Linked DNA regions of Xenopus tropicalis. The protein of the gene in region 4 interacts with the protein of the main gene of each other region in a pairwise test. Links are inferred from orthologs where the notes say so. Each region holds a gene or a part of one and is shown on either strand. Other genes may lie near its edges. The genes, in order: sdcbp, trim23, prtfdc1 and flad1.

The links.
Region 1: the proteins of flad1 (region 4) and sdcbp interact in binary tests that used the Homo sapiens proteins (3 or more experiments, as listed by UniProt). The two-hybrid records come from large-scale screens. The link is inferred for Xenopus tropicalis from reciprocal best matches to the Homo sapiens genes FLAD1 and SDCBP.
Region 2: the proteins of flad1 (region 4) and trim23 interact in binary tests that used the Homo sapiens proteins (3 or more experiments, as listed by UniProt). The two-hybrid records come from large-scale screens. The link is inferred for Xenopus tropicalis from reciprocal best matches to the Homo sapiens genes FLAD1 and TRIM23.
Region 3: the proteins of flad1 (region 4) and prtfdc1 interact in binary tests that used the Homo sapiens proteins (3 or more experiments, as listed by UniProt). The two-hybrid records come from large-scale screens. The link is inferred for Xenopus tropicalis from reciprocal best matches to the Homo sapiens genes FLAD1 and PRTFDC1.

What each region holds. Positions count from the first base shown.
Region 1 is NC_030682.2:116,378,162-116,381,812, reverse strand, and holds part of sdcbp (syntenin-1), read right to left. Parts: intron 2,426-3,651; 5' UTR 2,416-2,425; coding exon 2,365-2,415; intron 507-2,364; coding exon 428-506; intron 72-427; coding exon 1-71. UniProt on the Homo sapiens protein: Multifunctional adapter protein involved in diverse array of functions including trafficking of transmembrane proteins, neuro and immunomodulation, exosome biogenesis, and tumorigenesis.
Region 2 is NC_030677.2:187,786,886-187,791,268, reverse strand, and holds the start of trim23 (E3 ubiquitin-protein ligase TRIM23), read right to left. Parts: upstream 2,951-4,383; 5' UTR 2,485-2,950; coding exon 2,395-2,484; intron 967-2,394; coding exon 804-966; intron 204-803; coding exon 82-203; intron 1-81. Other genes in the region: trappc13 (trafficking protein particle complex subunit 13), read left to right, coding at 3,039-3,084.
Region 3 is NC_030682.2:25,741,841-25,745,043, reverse strand, and holds part of prtfdc1 (phosphoribosyltransferase domain-containing protein 1), read right to left. Parts: intron 3,163-3,203; coding exon 3,080-3,162; intron 1,946-3,079; coding exon 1,899-1,945; intron 1,443-1,898; coding exon 1,366-1,442; intron 1-1,365. UniProt on the Homo sapiens protein: Has low, barely detectable phosphoribosyltransferase activity (in vitro). Binds GMP, IMP and alpha-D-5-phosphoribosyl 1-pyrophosphate (PRPP). Is not expected to contribute to purine metabolism or GMP salvage.
Region 4 is NC_030684.2:145,234,988-145,238,638, reverse strand, and holds part of flad1 (FAD synthase), read right to left. Parts: coding exon 3,622-3,651; intron 2,500-3,621; coding exon 2,352-2,499; intron 2,275-2,351; coding exon 2,176-2,274; intron 2,103-2,175; coding exon 1,913-2,102; intron 1,589-1,912; coding exon 1,515-1,588; intron 1,414-1,514; coding exon 1,282-1,413; intron 1-1,281. UniProt on the Homo sapiens protein: Catalyzes the adenylation of flavin mononucleotide (FMN) to form flavin adenine dinucleotide (FAD) coenzyme.

The DNA.
Region 1 (3,651 bases), on a different chromosome or scaffold from region 4:
ATGAATTTCATCTTCACTGAGACTTAAGCCCATGTACTGTTCCAGTTCTGGATAAAGCTTAGGGTACATCCCTGTACAAAAAGAAAACACAGACTATTGGTCTCTTGGTTATGAAGGATTTCTGAATGCAGCACAACACCTACTAGTCAGTTTTAATATATATATATATATGTTATACAGGTCTGATTCACTCAACCCCTACTAAATCTTTCCCCACCGAGTCACTGAGTAACCCACCATCCATTTTTCATAGGCCTCTATGATGATCCAATATATTGGCCTAGGACTATAAACAATCACATCATCCCAATTAGGCCCACTGTTGGCTACATGGGGAAAAGATCTGCTCTTTTGGGAACCTCACTAAACAAGTTTTTGTGTATGGCCAACTAATGATGAAGTATATAAATAAGTCTGTAGACATTACCTCCATATTGAGGAGCTGATGCTGAAGCAGCAGGCAATATTGCTGGATTGACTGGGTTTGCAGAAAAAGTTGTCTGTGCCTGTAGAAAAACAAAACACACATAATTCAATATAGCAATTTATAAAGAACACCCTTCAGCTACATAATGTGCAGTTCAGGTGAATAGAAAAGGTATATTAAGATATTATTGTGCATGTTATTTAAAAAGTACAATGTACGGCTTTGTTTTAACCTGCAATCGAATTTAGCTGACAGATCTAAATATGGCTATATAAACAGAAGGAAGAACTCACTGTTTGTCTAACAAGTGGATCTTTAACCAGTGCAACCACATACATAGTGGGTCTAATGTGTCTGATCCAAGAAGTTGGTCCTTAGGCCAACAATCAGATTATAAAGTGGGTTCTGATTAAGCACAGTTTGACCACCGATACAACAGGCCAATTGCGTCCTGATTAGATTTTGGCTCTAGAAATGCTTCCAATCTGGCCAAGAATGAATTGGCTGGAGATAACTTGCCAACAATATTAAAAATAAAACCCTGGGATCCGGTTTCTGATTCCTTACTTGCACTTATGCCTCTTTTTTAATATTCCTGGATTTTATGTTTTAATTCAGTTTTACTACGTTGACCTAAGTCGGTAAAATCAAGGGTTAATCAAGGCCCCAGAACTATAAACATTGCACAAGCTGCAGAAAACAGCACCGACTCCATGATGCTAGCAACAGGGCAGCTATGCCTGGGAAATATCATATTGTCCCCTCGGGGTTAACAGGTCACATTCTTGAAGTGATCTCATATACAAACAGCACTCTGCTTTTCTGCTGCTGTGCATAAGCAATGAAGGATCAACAGAACAAAGAGTTATAAATTAGTCATTTGTTTCCTTTAAAAAAAAAACAAAAACCTATATCCATTAGAAACCATAGAAGGCAGCGGCTTTTTGTTCCAGTGAATAAAGCAGATCAATCAAGCTAAGATAAATAAATGATTGTAGGAAGCTACTGGACAGCTCATGCACAAGCAGTAAAAGCCCATTACCTGGCGCTCAGCAATTTTCTTTGGGGCTTTACAAGGACACATACTATTAACGTTCAAAGACCATGGCACTTAGCAATTCCAGTCAGGCTGAATCCCTCTTCTTTTTCAATGCTCCTCACAAATTTCACAGTGCAAGTGGAGAAGAATAAACCACTGTACTCATACTCATTGGAGTGAATAACAGTGCCTTTGATTCTGACTATTTAACTGCTCATACTGGACTAAAAAAAAGTTCTGTTTTCGGTAACACTGTTCAAAAAAATAAAGGGCATGCTGACCCAAAATTATAAATGTGCCTTATAAATGAAAATGTAATTCTAAGCAACTTTGCAATATGCACTTGTTAAAATATTCAGTGCTTTTAAAGTTATTTGTAAATACAGCAGCTACAGAAAGCAATATTTGCTTAAACTCCTTTTTGGGTTTTTTTTTTAAACAATGTTGCGAAAGTCCAAGTTCCCAAGCAAAGACAGAGCTGTAAACCTGTAAATCAGCTGGGTTGTTTTACACTGTGTCAACAGTCTGGGCCAGGGGCAGGGAATAGAAAGGCACACAAATTACATATACAAATAACATAAAAACTGTATTGAATTTATACAGCAAAGTTGCTAAGAATTACGTTTTCTTTTATTAGGCAAAAGGTGCAGAAGCCAACCAACCTTAACATCTCAGAACAAATCCACCTGTAACATTTGGCTAACGGTGGATCTCTGCTCCGAACAGCACTTTCTATATGATCCAAAACAAACCTACTTACCTGAACATGGGCTCCCATGCAATACTGAAAACAGGACATCCCCTCCACTTCCATAAAACATAGTGTATATTTAATGTCAAATGAAAGACCTTGAATAGATCAATTTAGCAATAAAAGCCAAGGTATAAACAAACTCACCTGGATGACTTTGTCAACCTTCAGGTCCTCCAGTGAGGGATACAGAGACATTTTTACAGACCTGGGGGTGGGAAAAAAAATGTTACACATGATGGATGTTGCTAGAAACTGGCCTGGTTTATGGGCACTTGTGGAGTTTGGTTTCCATCCCACCCCACACTCACATCTGCATCGGTGTATGTATTGTGTGAATCTCCCCATAGCAGTAATGTTCAGACTGTAGCAAAGGAAAGCTACTTTATATGACACTATAATACATTAACATTCACCTGATAAAGGTAATATAGTTTTAGTTTGTGGTAAGTTTTACCTTTCCTTTCAACTCCTCTAATAGAAATAACTGCCTAGGAAATGTCTTCATTCTTAGTTGCTATTTAAGAGAAAATGAAATGGAAGGTAAAAATATAAAATGTTCCTTTTATTTACATTATTTAGCCACAAGTACCCAGACACCCCTTCGAACAACCAGAATTGGCTATTCACGCTTCACCCATTGCTGACACAAACCACTGACCCACCGCCACTAAATCATTACCAACAGAGAGCTCAGCTCAGTTTCAACATGGCCCCTTTCCAGCAAGTTTATTGAAATATATGCCGAGAAGTCAAGTGAAGTGGAGGTTTCTAGGCACACTGGCAGTTCAGTCACACAGTGACAGAAAGGGGCTGCCGAGAGCTGAAGCTTGTTGTGCATCAATATTTTATGTTCTCAGACACAACCTCGAGGTTCCAAATGGTCTGCAACGTCTGCACTACAGATGCTGTAAATCCAATTATTTGGGATTTGGTCAAAACCTGAATCTTTTGTGAAAGATTTGCCAAATACAGAACCCAAATCCTAATTTGTATTGGCAAATTAAGCCCCCGAAGACTTAAAAATTAATTTTAAGGACTCGGTTCAGCCTGGACCATGTAATATGGCATTTACAGCCATGTTTATTTTTAGGTTTTCCTCCTCCTTTAATTTTTATACATAAAAAAAAATGACAAAACTGGTTTCCCTTATTTCACCAGCCTTTCAAGTTATGCAATTATGGTAAGTACAAGGAAAGCCAATTCGATATAATGAACATGACTCGTGACTTTATAAGAGGATTAATGCATCATGACCACAAGCAGATGACTGTCATATGATCTGCTTGCAAAGAAAGCAGCTTGCAAACCATTTACTTAGTGTTCCTGAAATTCCACATCCAGCAACACATGTTTTACATGTTTCAAAAAAGTACTGCAGTACAACCTGTTCATACTGGAGTGGTCATGATCAGTTATTTACTTACATAGACA
Region 2 (4,383 bases), on a different chromosome or scaffold from region 4:
AACATAGCTAAAACAGGTGAATAAAAAAGTTGAATACCCTCTCTACCACATGTACTATACAATAACTACAGTCAGCATTACCTCTCCAGAGCCGCCCATTGCCTCTTCTACAGTGCTACACTGACTACTGGCACCATTCTGCAACCGCTCCAGGAGTTCCAGTAATGCAAAATTTTTCTTTAAGCCCCACACACCAGAGTCTCCTGTATAAGAACAAGACATTTACACATTATTTAAACAAATAATAATCTTAATTTCTTACTGTTCAGCTTCTCTGCAATTATAAGACAATGCCTAGTACTTGATGGCAATGAAGGTAGCTTATTGTATCCAAACTGGCATCAAAACAATATATATATTTTTTAAATATGTCAATGCTTATTTAACAGTCTTAAGGCATGATGATCCAAATTAAAGAAAAAAACCTAATCCCATACCAAAGGAATAATTCATTAAATAAAACAAATGGTTTTTAACATTTTGGAACAGAATAAAGGAGAGATTCTCAAAAGATGGGCTGTTCCCAGAGTTTCTAAAGCACACCCAGACTGGCAATCTGTGGATTCTGGCAAATGCCAGAGGGGCAGCTGCCTATTATAAATCCCAGTCTGGGCCTGTTTGAGAGCAGTGGGTCACCCAGTATCTATTTGTTGCAAGAGAGAGCAGCTAGTGCAGAGCAACTTGAAGCAAATGGGAAGCAATCTGCAGCAGGTAACAGCTATCAAAATCCTTGTGTTATAGAGACCTTAAATACATTACATAATACTATTGCTTAGTAAAGTAAAAAATGAATTCTTTAATACCTAGTTCAGTAGCTTGTCTGTCAAATGGACAGCGTATGGCTCTGCCATGAAGAGGCAGGCGTGTTAGACAGTCATGGCACACAGTATGGCCGCAAAGCAGCAAACGTGGAACTTTATCTCCTTGCAGTGAAAAGACATCTTCACAGACACCACATTCCAGAACCTAGTGTTGATTAAACAATTGTGGAAAGGTTACATTGTGGAGAGACATTTAAATATATCAGTCTGAAAGTTACGAGGATGCAACCATGTTGCTGGATGTATCATTTGCTTGCTAAAGATCAGGCTGGGGACCACTGCTCCTCCTGAACAGCCCAGGAAAGCTGCCTGTGGAAGTGGAAAGGCTGGGTGGTGCTAATAAGGTTTAAGATAAATTAAAGCAGCATTTTCTCTTAAAATGATACAGTGCTATGTATCCTTGCAGCAATATAAAAATAAAGTTATAAATACATACAATAGGCTTATTGCCTTTGCAGATGTGGGTATGGAATATCAATAGCTGCCATTGGGTATTATCCATATGCTTCCTACATCTAGCTGACTTTGCATGCTGGGAGTTGTAGTTCATTGGGAGTTAAAACGCATAGGAAAGTTGAAAGACAACCCTGTATAGGACATTTACACTTATCCATACAGCCAGGGCTGGAGTTAAAGGGGGGTGGGTAGCTTGCAATGCAGAAAGCCTGGAGTCTGATGAAGGGGATTAATATATGTATATATAATATATTAGGGATGTTTAACCTGCAGCCCTCCAGTTGTTGTTCTGCTAGAACTCTCAATAGCCCTACTAGCCAATGTATGGAGGTGCAGTACAACAAGAACAAAGAGCTCTAAGGCTGCCCATAGCTAATGTCAGTGGCATAACTAGAGGTGTCTGGGCCCCACAGCAAATTCATATTACCCCCCCCCCCCCCCCCTAAAGTTTAAGAGTTATTGTACATAAGTATATACTGGAATTGCTTATCACTCAGTGTCTGGGCCCCACAGCAAATTCATATTACCCCCCCCTAAAGTTTAAGAGTTATTGTACATAAGTATATACTGGAATTGCTTATCACTCAGTGTCTGGGCCCCGCAGCAAATTCATATTACCCCCCCCCCCCCTAAAGTTTAAGAGTTATTGTACATAAGTATATACTGGAATTGCTTATCACTCAGTGTCTGGGCCCCGCAGCAAATTCATATTACCCCCCCCCCCCCTAAAGTTTAAGAGTTATTGTACATAAGTATATACTGGAATTGCTTATCACTCAGTGTCTGGGCCCCGCAGCAAATTCATATTACCCCCCCCCCCCCTAAAGTTTAAGAGTTATTGTACATAAGTATATACTGGAATTGCTTATCACTCAGTGTCTGGGCCCCGCAGCTTCCTCTCTAGCACAATATAATAGGCCCTTTCTGCTTTGTTTCCCCCTAGGAGTATCCCATCTCCGAAACTGCCCTTTCCCCTAAAGCCTCCCTGCACTCTGCAACGAAATGATGTAGGAAGGAGAATGCATATAGCCAGACGCAGGGGGGCCCTCCTGCAGGGATAAACCAGGGCCCAAACTACACGGCATACACTTCTCCCGTAACCCTGCTCTAGTATCACCTTTACTGCTCCCCCCGGACCGGTCCGGCTCTGCCGTCCGCTGCCCTCCATTCTTCCAGGGCCGCCGTGTCTGTTTACAGCGACAGCCATGTTGACAGCTGGACCGTACCACTTCGGGTAGAGGGTTGAGAAATCATGTGAATCCTGGTGTTGAAAATGGCATTATTTAAGAATAAACCCTGTTTTAAAAAACAATGAATATATCTACTTAGGTTCATAACAGTAGCAATCTGAGAAGTCTAATCCGTATGACACCACCGACTGAGCAAAAGGCTTTTAAAACTATTACTAGCGAAACCGCAAAGTGGTTTCACCCAATAGCTATAACCCAACTCAGTCTCTTGCCTCAGAAAAATGGGAGCTAACGCTATAAGGCGCCATCTTAAACATTGGCAAACGTGCCCTCATATTTTTCCCCTGAAACAAAAACAAAATGATAGATAGCAGAGACGGCGATTCTGTGGTTCTGCAGCTTTTGTCGAAATAAAAGTTTTGCAGGGCTCTGTTGCAATGTGAATAATAGAACTGAGAAGCGGAAAAAGCCTCTGCGCATGCGCATTTTGTTTTACTAGAACTGGCCCTTTCGTCTTCCCGTACAGGCAGTTCCGGGTGTGTGTAGGGGTGGTGACGGCGGTTCTGGCACCATGGACGTCAATCAGCCCAAGCAGGAACATTTGTTGGCCCTGAAAGGTATCAGTGTGAGGCTGTGGTGTGTGTTCTCTGCGCCCTGACTGGGGAGTCAGCCCGGCCTGCCCCAAGCTGTAGCACAGGAGCCAGAGCTTTCCTGCACTGGCCATTCCCATAGGTGTCCTGGCCCACTCACTTCTGTTCCAGAGTACATAGACTATGCACCTAAGCAAGAGGCTGCCCTGCCTTGCCCTGTCATTTCTAGTTACTTCCATCCCTTGCCATTATGGTAGCCACATTGAGTGATCTTCTTAACCATTGATGCTACAGTAACCCCATGGCAGCGCAGTTAGTGCAAATGATTATTCTGCAAAGCAGCAGTTACTCAGATTGTCTGCCATAGCTGAGTGGCCCCCTCCTGCTTATGCTTGCGTTTGGAGCAGGTTGGGGGCCCATAGGACACAAAGAAAGTGCATGGAATTAACCAATTGGGCATGATCTCATTGGTGGGCTCCACAACGGTTACAATACATTTTTGTATGATTATCCTCAAGCAGGGGAACTAAAATACAATAATGCTGGAAATACAGAAAAACTCTGTGCTGACTAATAGACATGATAAATGATAGACATACCAACCTGTACCAACAGTGATGGGAAAGATAAACTGTAATCTCAACTAAACCAGGTTTTTATTAAGAATATATCATTAAGGAACATTTGTTCTAATTAAAAGTAAGTTAATAGCAAGGATGAGCTCATCCAGCTGACAAATATAAGGGTTCTACTATTTTTTGAGAGCAGCGTCATTCAAAAGTTACAGTAGATGTAATAAATAGCCCTGGTATCAGGTAGTAATTATTTAGGTCTTTTGGGGCTTTAAAACATTACACGGGGGCCAATTTATGCATATACGTGTAAGGGGTGCAACAAACAGCATTGTAAAGTGAACCTTGTGCAAGCAGAGCTGTGCAGCAAAACAAATTAATGGCACACACAATGCCAAATTAACTAACATTAATGGAACAGGCAGGTCAGTACAATGAAATATAATACAAAATACAGTTACATTCAGGATTAAGTGGTAGAGACGAGAGGAAAGAGATTTTCCCCATAGAATCTAGATAGGAGTTCTCTAATAATCAGACATTGATAGATGTAAAGCAAAACATTTTTTCCCATAAGTGCTTTAAGAAGATTTTTCTGATCAATTTAGTGGCTTGGAATATAAGCAATACAGTATGAAAATAATACGATAATTCTCTTTTGGTGCTGGCTGCTTTGTAAATAGCTGCTCCAAAGTGCAAATATAAAATTTAATAGATTGTTAACAACATTTTTTTTTTGTGGATTTGCTTCAGT
Region 3 (3,203 bases), on a different chromosome or scaffold from region 4:
GTTACACTATAAGGTAAGGTTACACTATCGGGTAGGGTTACACTATAAGGTAAGGTTACGCTATCGGGTAGGGTTACACTATAAGGTAAGGTTACGCTATCGGGTAGGGTTACACTATAAGGTAAGGTTACGCTATGGGGTAGGGTTACACTATCGGGTAGGGTTACACTATAAGGTAAGGTTACACTATCGGGTAGGGTTACACTATCGGGTAGGGTTACGCTATCGGGTAGGGTTACGCTATCGGGTAGGGTTACGCTATCGGGTAGGGTTACGCTATCGGGTAGGGTTACGCTATCGGGTAGGGTTACACTATAAGGTAAGGTTACACTATCGGGTAGGGTTACACTATAAGGTAAGGTTACGCTATCGAGTAGGGTTACACTATAAGGTAAGGTTACGCTATCGGGTAGGGTTACACTATAAGGTAAGGTTACGCTATCGGGTAGGGTTACACTATAAGGTAAGGTTACGCTATTGGGTAGGGTTACACTATAAGGTAAGGTTACACTATCGAGTAGGGTTACACTATAAGGTAAGGTTACGCTATAAGGTAAGGTTACACTATCGGGTAGGGTTACGCTATAGGGTAGGGTTACGCTATCGGGTAGGGTTGCGCTATCGGGTAGGGTTACGCTATCGGGTAGGGTTACGCTATCGGGTAGGGTTACGCTATCGGGTAGGGTTACGCTATCGGGTAGGGTTACGCTATCGGGTAGGGTTACACTATAAGGTAAGGTTACACTATCGGGTAGGGTTACACTATAAGGTAAGGTTACGCTATCGGGTAGGGTTACACTATAAGGTAAGGTTACGCTATCGGGTAGGGTTACACTATAAGGTAAGGTTACGCTATCGGGTAGGGTTACACTATCGGGTAGGGTTACACTATAAGGTAAGGTTACACTATCGGGTAGGGTTACACTATCGGGTAGGGTTACACTATAAGGTAAGGTTACACTATTGGGAAGGTTAGTGGAACTGAAACACCCTAAATTGCCACCCACTGTTGACACAAAAACACAAACTTTGGTGAATTTCATGTGTTTCACACAATTCCCTTACTAGCAATAGGAAGGAGATATTACAATGGCCTAAAATCAACACGTGTGCCCTATGTCTACGGGCCGGGCCCTTCCAGGAACATTGTAGTTTGACAAAAATGCCTATATTTATCCCCAGCCTCTAATGTGATTAAGCAGCGGTTGCAGAGAAATGCTGGCCTACAGTGTTTCCATTGTGTGTGCAATGCTATCGCTGGAGTTAATCACTGAGGGACCCGGGCACAGTACTAAAAGGTCAATCTTTCCACGGCTGTGCCGCGTGAATAATGGGTCAGCGCACACAAACAATTAACATACTTACATGAAGGTCTCGAAAATACTCATTGTAATCCAAGGCATAGCCAACCACAAATTTGTTGGGAATTTCAAATCCAGTGTCTATGAATAAAAACAACGTACAAGGCCAGTTAAAGGGCAAACAAAGCATATTATTAGTACATTGTGAAAGTGACAGACTAGGGTGGCATGATCCCAACTATGGTATAATTAACCCTTATTGGGGGCCAAACAATCCAATTTAGTTTATTTAATGTTTAAATGACTTCTTAGTAGACTTAGCATATGGGGATCCAAATTATGCAAAGACCCCTTATCTGGAAAACCCTAGTTCTTAAGCATTCTGGATAACAGGTCCCATACCTGTATCGACTAGGGTCAAGCCAGCATTGCAAGAACACTCAAACAGAGGGCATCATGCTGCTGGCACAGGGGTTAGCACTGCTGACCTAGGCCTGGGAATAGTAAGGGCTCATCATATTTATCAATGCCTGGAATTTATTGTCGTGGGGCAGTTGTTTCCCTACAATAGTGACATGTACGTACAAAAATACTTACAGTCAGGTCTGTACTGATTGCTGGACGCTGATCTTTTCACCAGCAAGCTGCATAAAAACAATATCAAAAGGTATTTTTATTTTCTTCAGCAAATTAAACCTAAATCACTAGCTGCCCCTTGTATATTAGGCAGATGAAAGCAGCCTGACGCAGAGGCTCCCAGACCAACTTTTATTTGCCCCCTTATTCACAAGGCTGCATTTGCCAGTTTCCCCATTCATTACATCCCTACTATACCATATACAGGTATCAGACCCCTTATCCGGAAACCCGTTATCCAGAAAGCCCACCCCCCATAGACTCCATTTTAATCAAATAAGTCAGAATTTTAAAACGGATTTCCTTTTTCTCTGTAGTAATAAAACAGTACCTTGTAATTGATCCCAACTAAGATATAAATAATCCTTATTGGATGCAAAACAATCCTATTGTGTTTAATTAATGTTTTATTGATTTTTTAGCAGACTTAAGGTATGGAGATCCAAATTACAGAAAGACCCCTTATCCAGAATACCCTTGGTCGCGAGCATTCTGCATAATGGGTCCTATACCTGTACACAGTTGCCTGCCTTGTAGAATGGATACACCTAGCTCTTTCCTCTGCAGGTGACTGCTGGTGAAAGTTAAGTTTAGTGTGCAGGTTAATTTAGATTCTACAAGGTATGACACTGGATACATTTCTGGTAAAAAAACAACCAAGGAAGAAAGATTAAAGGATATACAAACTCACAAAACAAATTAATGTAAAATTGCTAAGAGTGCTTACATTCATTTTCTTTTTCTATTTTTAAGATAGTAACAATTTTTAAACTGCTAATATAATGAATTTGATACAACAGCACCACCTGCTGGCCATTTTGGCTGACTGGCTACAGAGAAATGTCAGATGACTCTTCTCTGCTCACTAATTTAATTTTCAAAGCAAAGCATCATCACAAGACTTTCCTTTTCTAAAAAAAATAATTTTCTGCTGACTGTAGTGGAAATGACCAGCAGGTGGTGCTGTGGCATCAAATTCATTAAAAACAGCTAATGAAACTAGAAAAGCAGGAAAAAATATTGTATGTTGCAAAAAGAGCATTACTTTTATTTGTTTTTATGGTATATATTATCTGTAAGGGTTAAAGCTAATGCAATGGAGGGACATGTCCTACAATGCCCAAACTGTGGTGTCTACCAACCTTGCCACTTTCACCATCTTTGGTTTGTATTTTTCTAGCTGACTGAGAAGTGCAGTCATTGTCCTTCCAGTGTTAATAATGTCCTTGAAAAGATACAGAAAAAAGGTAGTCATGCCAATGATTA
Region 4 (3,651 bases):
GTGCCCCTAGCGTGGGTAACTCTGGCGTTCTGCCCCTAGTGTGGGTCCCCTGGTGTTCTGCCCCTAGCGTGGGTAACCCTGGCGTTCTGCCCCTGGCGTGGGTCCCCCTGGCGTCCTGCCCCTGGCGTGGGTCCCCCTGGCGTTCTGCCCCTGGCGTGGGTCCCCCTGGCGTTCTGCCCCTAGCGTGGGTCCCCTCTGGTGTTCTGCCCCTAGCATGGGTAACCCTGGCATTCTGCCCCTAGCGTGGGTCCCCCTGGCGTTCTGCCCCTAGCGTGGGTCCCCCTGGCGTTCTGCCCCTAGTGTGGGTCCCCTCTGGTGTTCTGCCCCTAGCGTGGGTCCCCCTGGCGTTCTGCCCCTAGCGTGGGTCCCCCTGGCGTTCTGCCCCTAGTGTGGGCCCCCTCTGGTGTTCTGCCCCTAGCGTGGGTAACCCTGGTGTTCTGCCCCTAGTGTGGGTCCCCTGGTGTTCTGCCCCTTGGCACTTGTACCCTCCTGGCCGTGGGTCCCTGGCGTTCACTGTACAGTGGGACACAAGGACGGGCATCAAACTTACAGACACATCAGAAGGACGAGGAACTGAGAGGGGGGGGGAGTGAAGACATTCACTCCCCCATTATTGGCACTTAAAGCTCCAGTACAGTCTGACTGACAAACAGCCCCCCCGCCCCCCCACAGACTGGCAGGCAAGTTAGGAGGAGGGAACCATTTAGTGACGGGGGTGGGGGGGCACTGATGATTGGGGGGTGGGGCACTGATGATTGGGGGGTGGGGCACTGATGGTTGGGGGGTGGGGCACTGATGATTGGGGGGTGGGGCACTGATGATTGGGGGGTGGGGCACTGAGGATGGGGTGGGTGGGGCACTGATGATGGGGTGGGTGGGGCACTGATGATAGGGGGGTGGGGCACTGATGATAGGGGGGTGGGGCACTGATGATAGGGGGGTGGGGCACTGATGATAGGGGGGTGGGGCACAGATGATAGGGGGGTGGGGCACAGATGATGGGGTGGGTGGGGCACAGATGATGGGGTGGGTGGGGCACTGATGATAGGGGGGTGGGGCACAGATGATGGGGTGGGTGGGGCACAGATGATGAGGTGGGTGGGGCACTGATGATTGGGGGGTGGGGCACTGATGATGAGGTGGGTGGGGCACTAATGATGAGGTGGGTGGGGCACTGAGGATGAGGTGGGTGGGGCACTGATGATTGGGGGGTGGGGCACTGATGATTGGGGGGTGGGGCACTGATGATAGGGGGGACACTGATGTGTCAAGACTAATTACTTCCTGGAGACTCGCTCCTCCTCCTCATTTTCCAGCTTGTAGGCAGGCTGGTAGCTCTCAGTGCCCCCCGGGGTGGTGAATCGCAGGGCCGGGTTCTTCACGGTGTTCTCCATGCTGCCCAGAGACGTGTAACTGTAACGGGAGTGGGTGGAGTCAGGGACCCGCGGGAGGAGGAGCTAGAAAGGGCCACATACAGATATAGGGAGCAGAATGAGATGCACAGGGATAGTTACCCTTTATCATAGAGAATACAGTAGGGAATGTAGAGAGTCCGCAGGAAGTCCCAGATGTCTCCGTACGACCAATCCTGCAGTGGGGAATAATAATAACGTTGCACTGGCGCTTCTGACACTGCAGGACTTGTATTGTGAAAGTAGGCAAATCCTTGCCCTGGGGGGGGCGCTCTGCAACTAGAGGCTTGGCTGCTCCCAATGATATGAGCCAAATAGGAACAATAACCTGCATGTGTCACTGAGCATTATGGGAAATTAAAGGCACTGACCCCCACCAAGAGAGGAATAGGATGTCAGGGAGTAGTACTGACCCACTAAGCTGACACTTGGCAGGGAGGCGCACCCCGTACCTCCTTGGGTAACAAGCAAAGGGAGTGGCACACAGAGCTGACACTCACCAGTAGGGGGTTCACTCGCATGTACTGGGGCCAGTCGGGGTCCGTCAGGCACATGGGGGTCAGTGTCCGGGAGTAGGGGTCGGAGCGCCTGGTGCCCATCAGAACCGCTTCCAGATTGGGTTGTTCTGCTTTCAGGTCCATAAGCGCCTGCTTGATGTACCCCTGGATGGTGTAGATCCGGAGATTGTACCTGTAGGGGCAATAAGGGGGGTTACGCTCAGAGCCCGGGGGGGGGGTCGCTGACCCCACAGGGCTCCTCTCACCGTTTGGTCGTGCTCTGCATGAACTGCTCCATCTCTGGGAAGGGCGAGACGATCCGGATGTACAGCGCCTGCAGGTGGTCCTTCCGCTCCGGGTATTTCCTGAGGGGCAAAGAAGGGGAGTGGGTGACCTGGGGCACCTCCTGACTGGGGGGGCTCTGTGGGGGGCATCTCCTCACCTCTGTACAGCGGCGTGGAACAGGTGCAGGAGGGCCGTGCAGTCTTTGCCCCCATTAAAGGCCACACAGATCTTGTCCAGGCTGTAAGTGTCGAGCCCCTCCTCCAGGATGCGCAGTGCCGCCGCCACCTTGTCCCCCAGGGGCGAGCCTATTGGGCACAAGGGAATCACTGCCGTGACTGGGTGCCACACTGGGGCCCCACCCTCCCAGGGTTCCACACAGGGGCCCCACCCTCTACTCACACTGATTGGATTCACTTACCCAGGGGGATGTTCTTGCCTGACCATGGGAAAGAGAGCAGCCCAGGAGCAGGAAGTACAGAGAATCAGAGCTCTGTACCTGGGTAAGTACTGGGGGGAGATTGGATTCACTTACCCAGGGGGAGGTTCCTGCCTGACCATGGGAAAGAGAGCAGCCCAGGAGCAGGAAGTACAGAGAATCAGAGCTCTGTACCTGGGTAAGTACTGGGGGGAGATTGGATTCACTTACCCGGGGGGGGGTTCCTGCCTGACCATGGGAAAGAGAGCAGCCCAGGAGCAGGAAGTACAGAGAATCAGAGCTCTGTACCTGGGTAAGTACTGGGGGGAGATTGGATTCACTTACCTTGGGGGGGTTCCTGCCTGACCATGGGAAAGAGAGCAGCCCAGGAGCAGGAAGTACAGAGAATCAGAGCTCTGTACCTGGGTAAGTACTGGGGGGAGATTGGATTCACTTACCCAGGGGGGAGGTTCCTGCCTGACCATGGGAAAGAGAGCAGCCCAGGAGCAGGAAGTACAGAGAATCAGAGCTCTGTACCTGGGTAAGTACTGGGGGGAGATTGGATTCACTTACCCGGGGGGGGTTCCTGCCTGACCATGGGAAAGAGAGCAGCCCAGGAGCAGGAAGTACAGAGAATCAGAGCTCTGTACCTGGGTAAGTACTGGGGGGAGATTGGATTCACTTACCCAGGGGGAGGTTCCTGTCTGACCATGGGAAAGAGAGCAGCCCAGGAGCAGGAAGTACAGAGAATCAGAGCTCTGTACCTGGGTAAGTACTGGGGGGAGATTGGATTCACTTACCCAGGGGGGAGTTCCTGCCTGACCATGGGAAAGAGAGCAGCCCAGGAGCAGGAAGTACAGAGAATCAGAGCTCTGTACCTGGGTAAGTACTGGGGGGAGATTGGATCCACTTACCCAGGGGGGGGTTCCTGTCTGACCATGGGAAAGAGAGCAGCCCAGGAGCAGGAAGTACAGAGAATACATTTAACCCTATAAGCCACGCCATAGGGTACCTGACTGGGCAAGCTGATAGACTTGGGCTG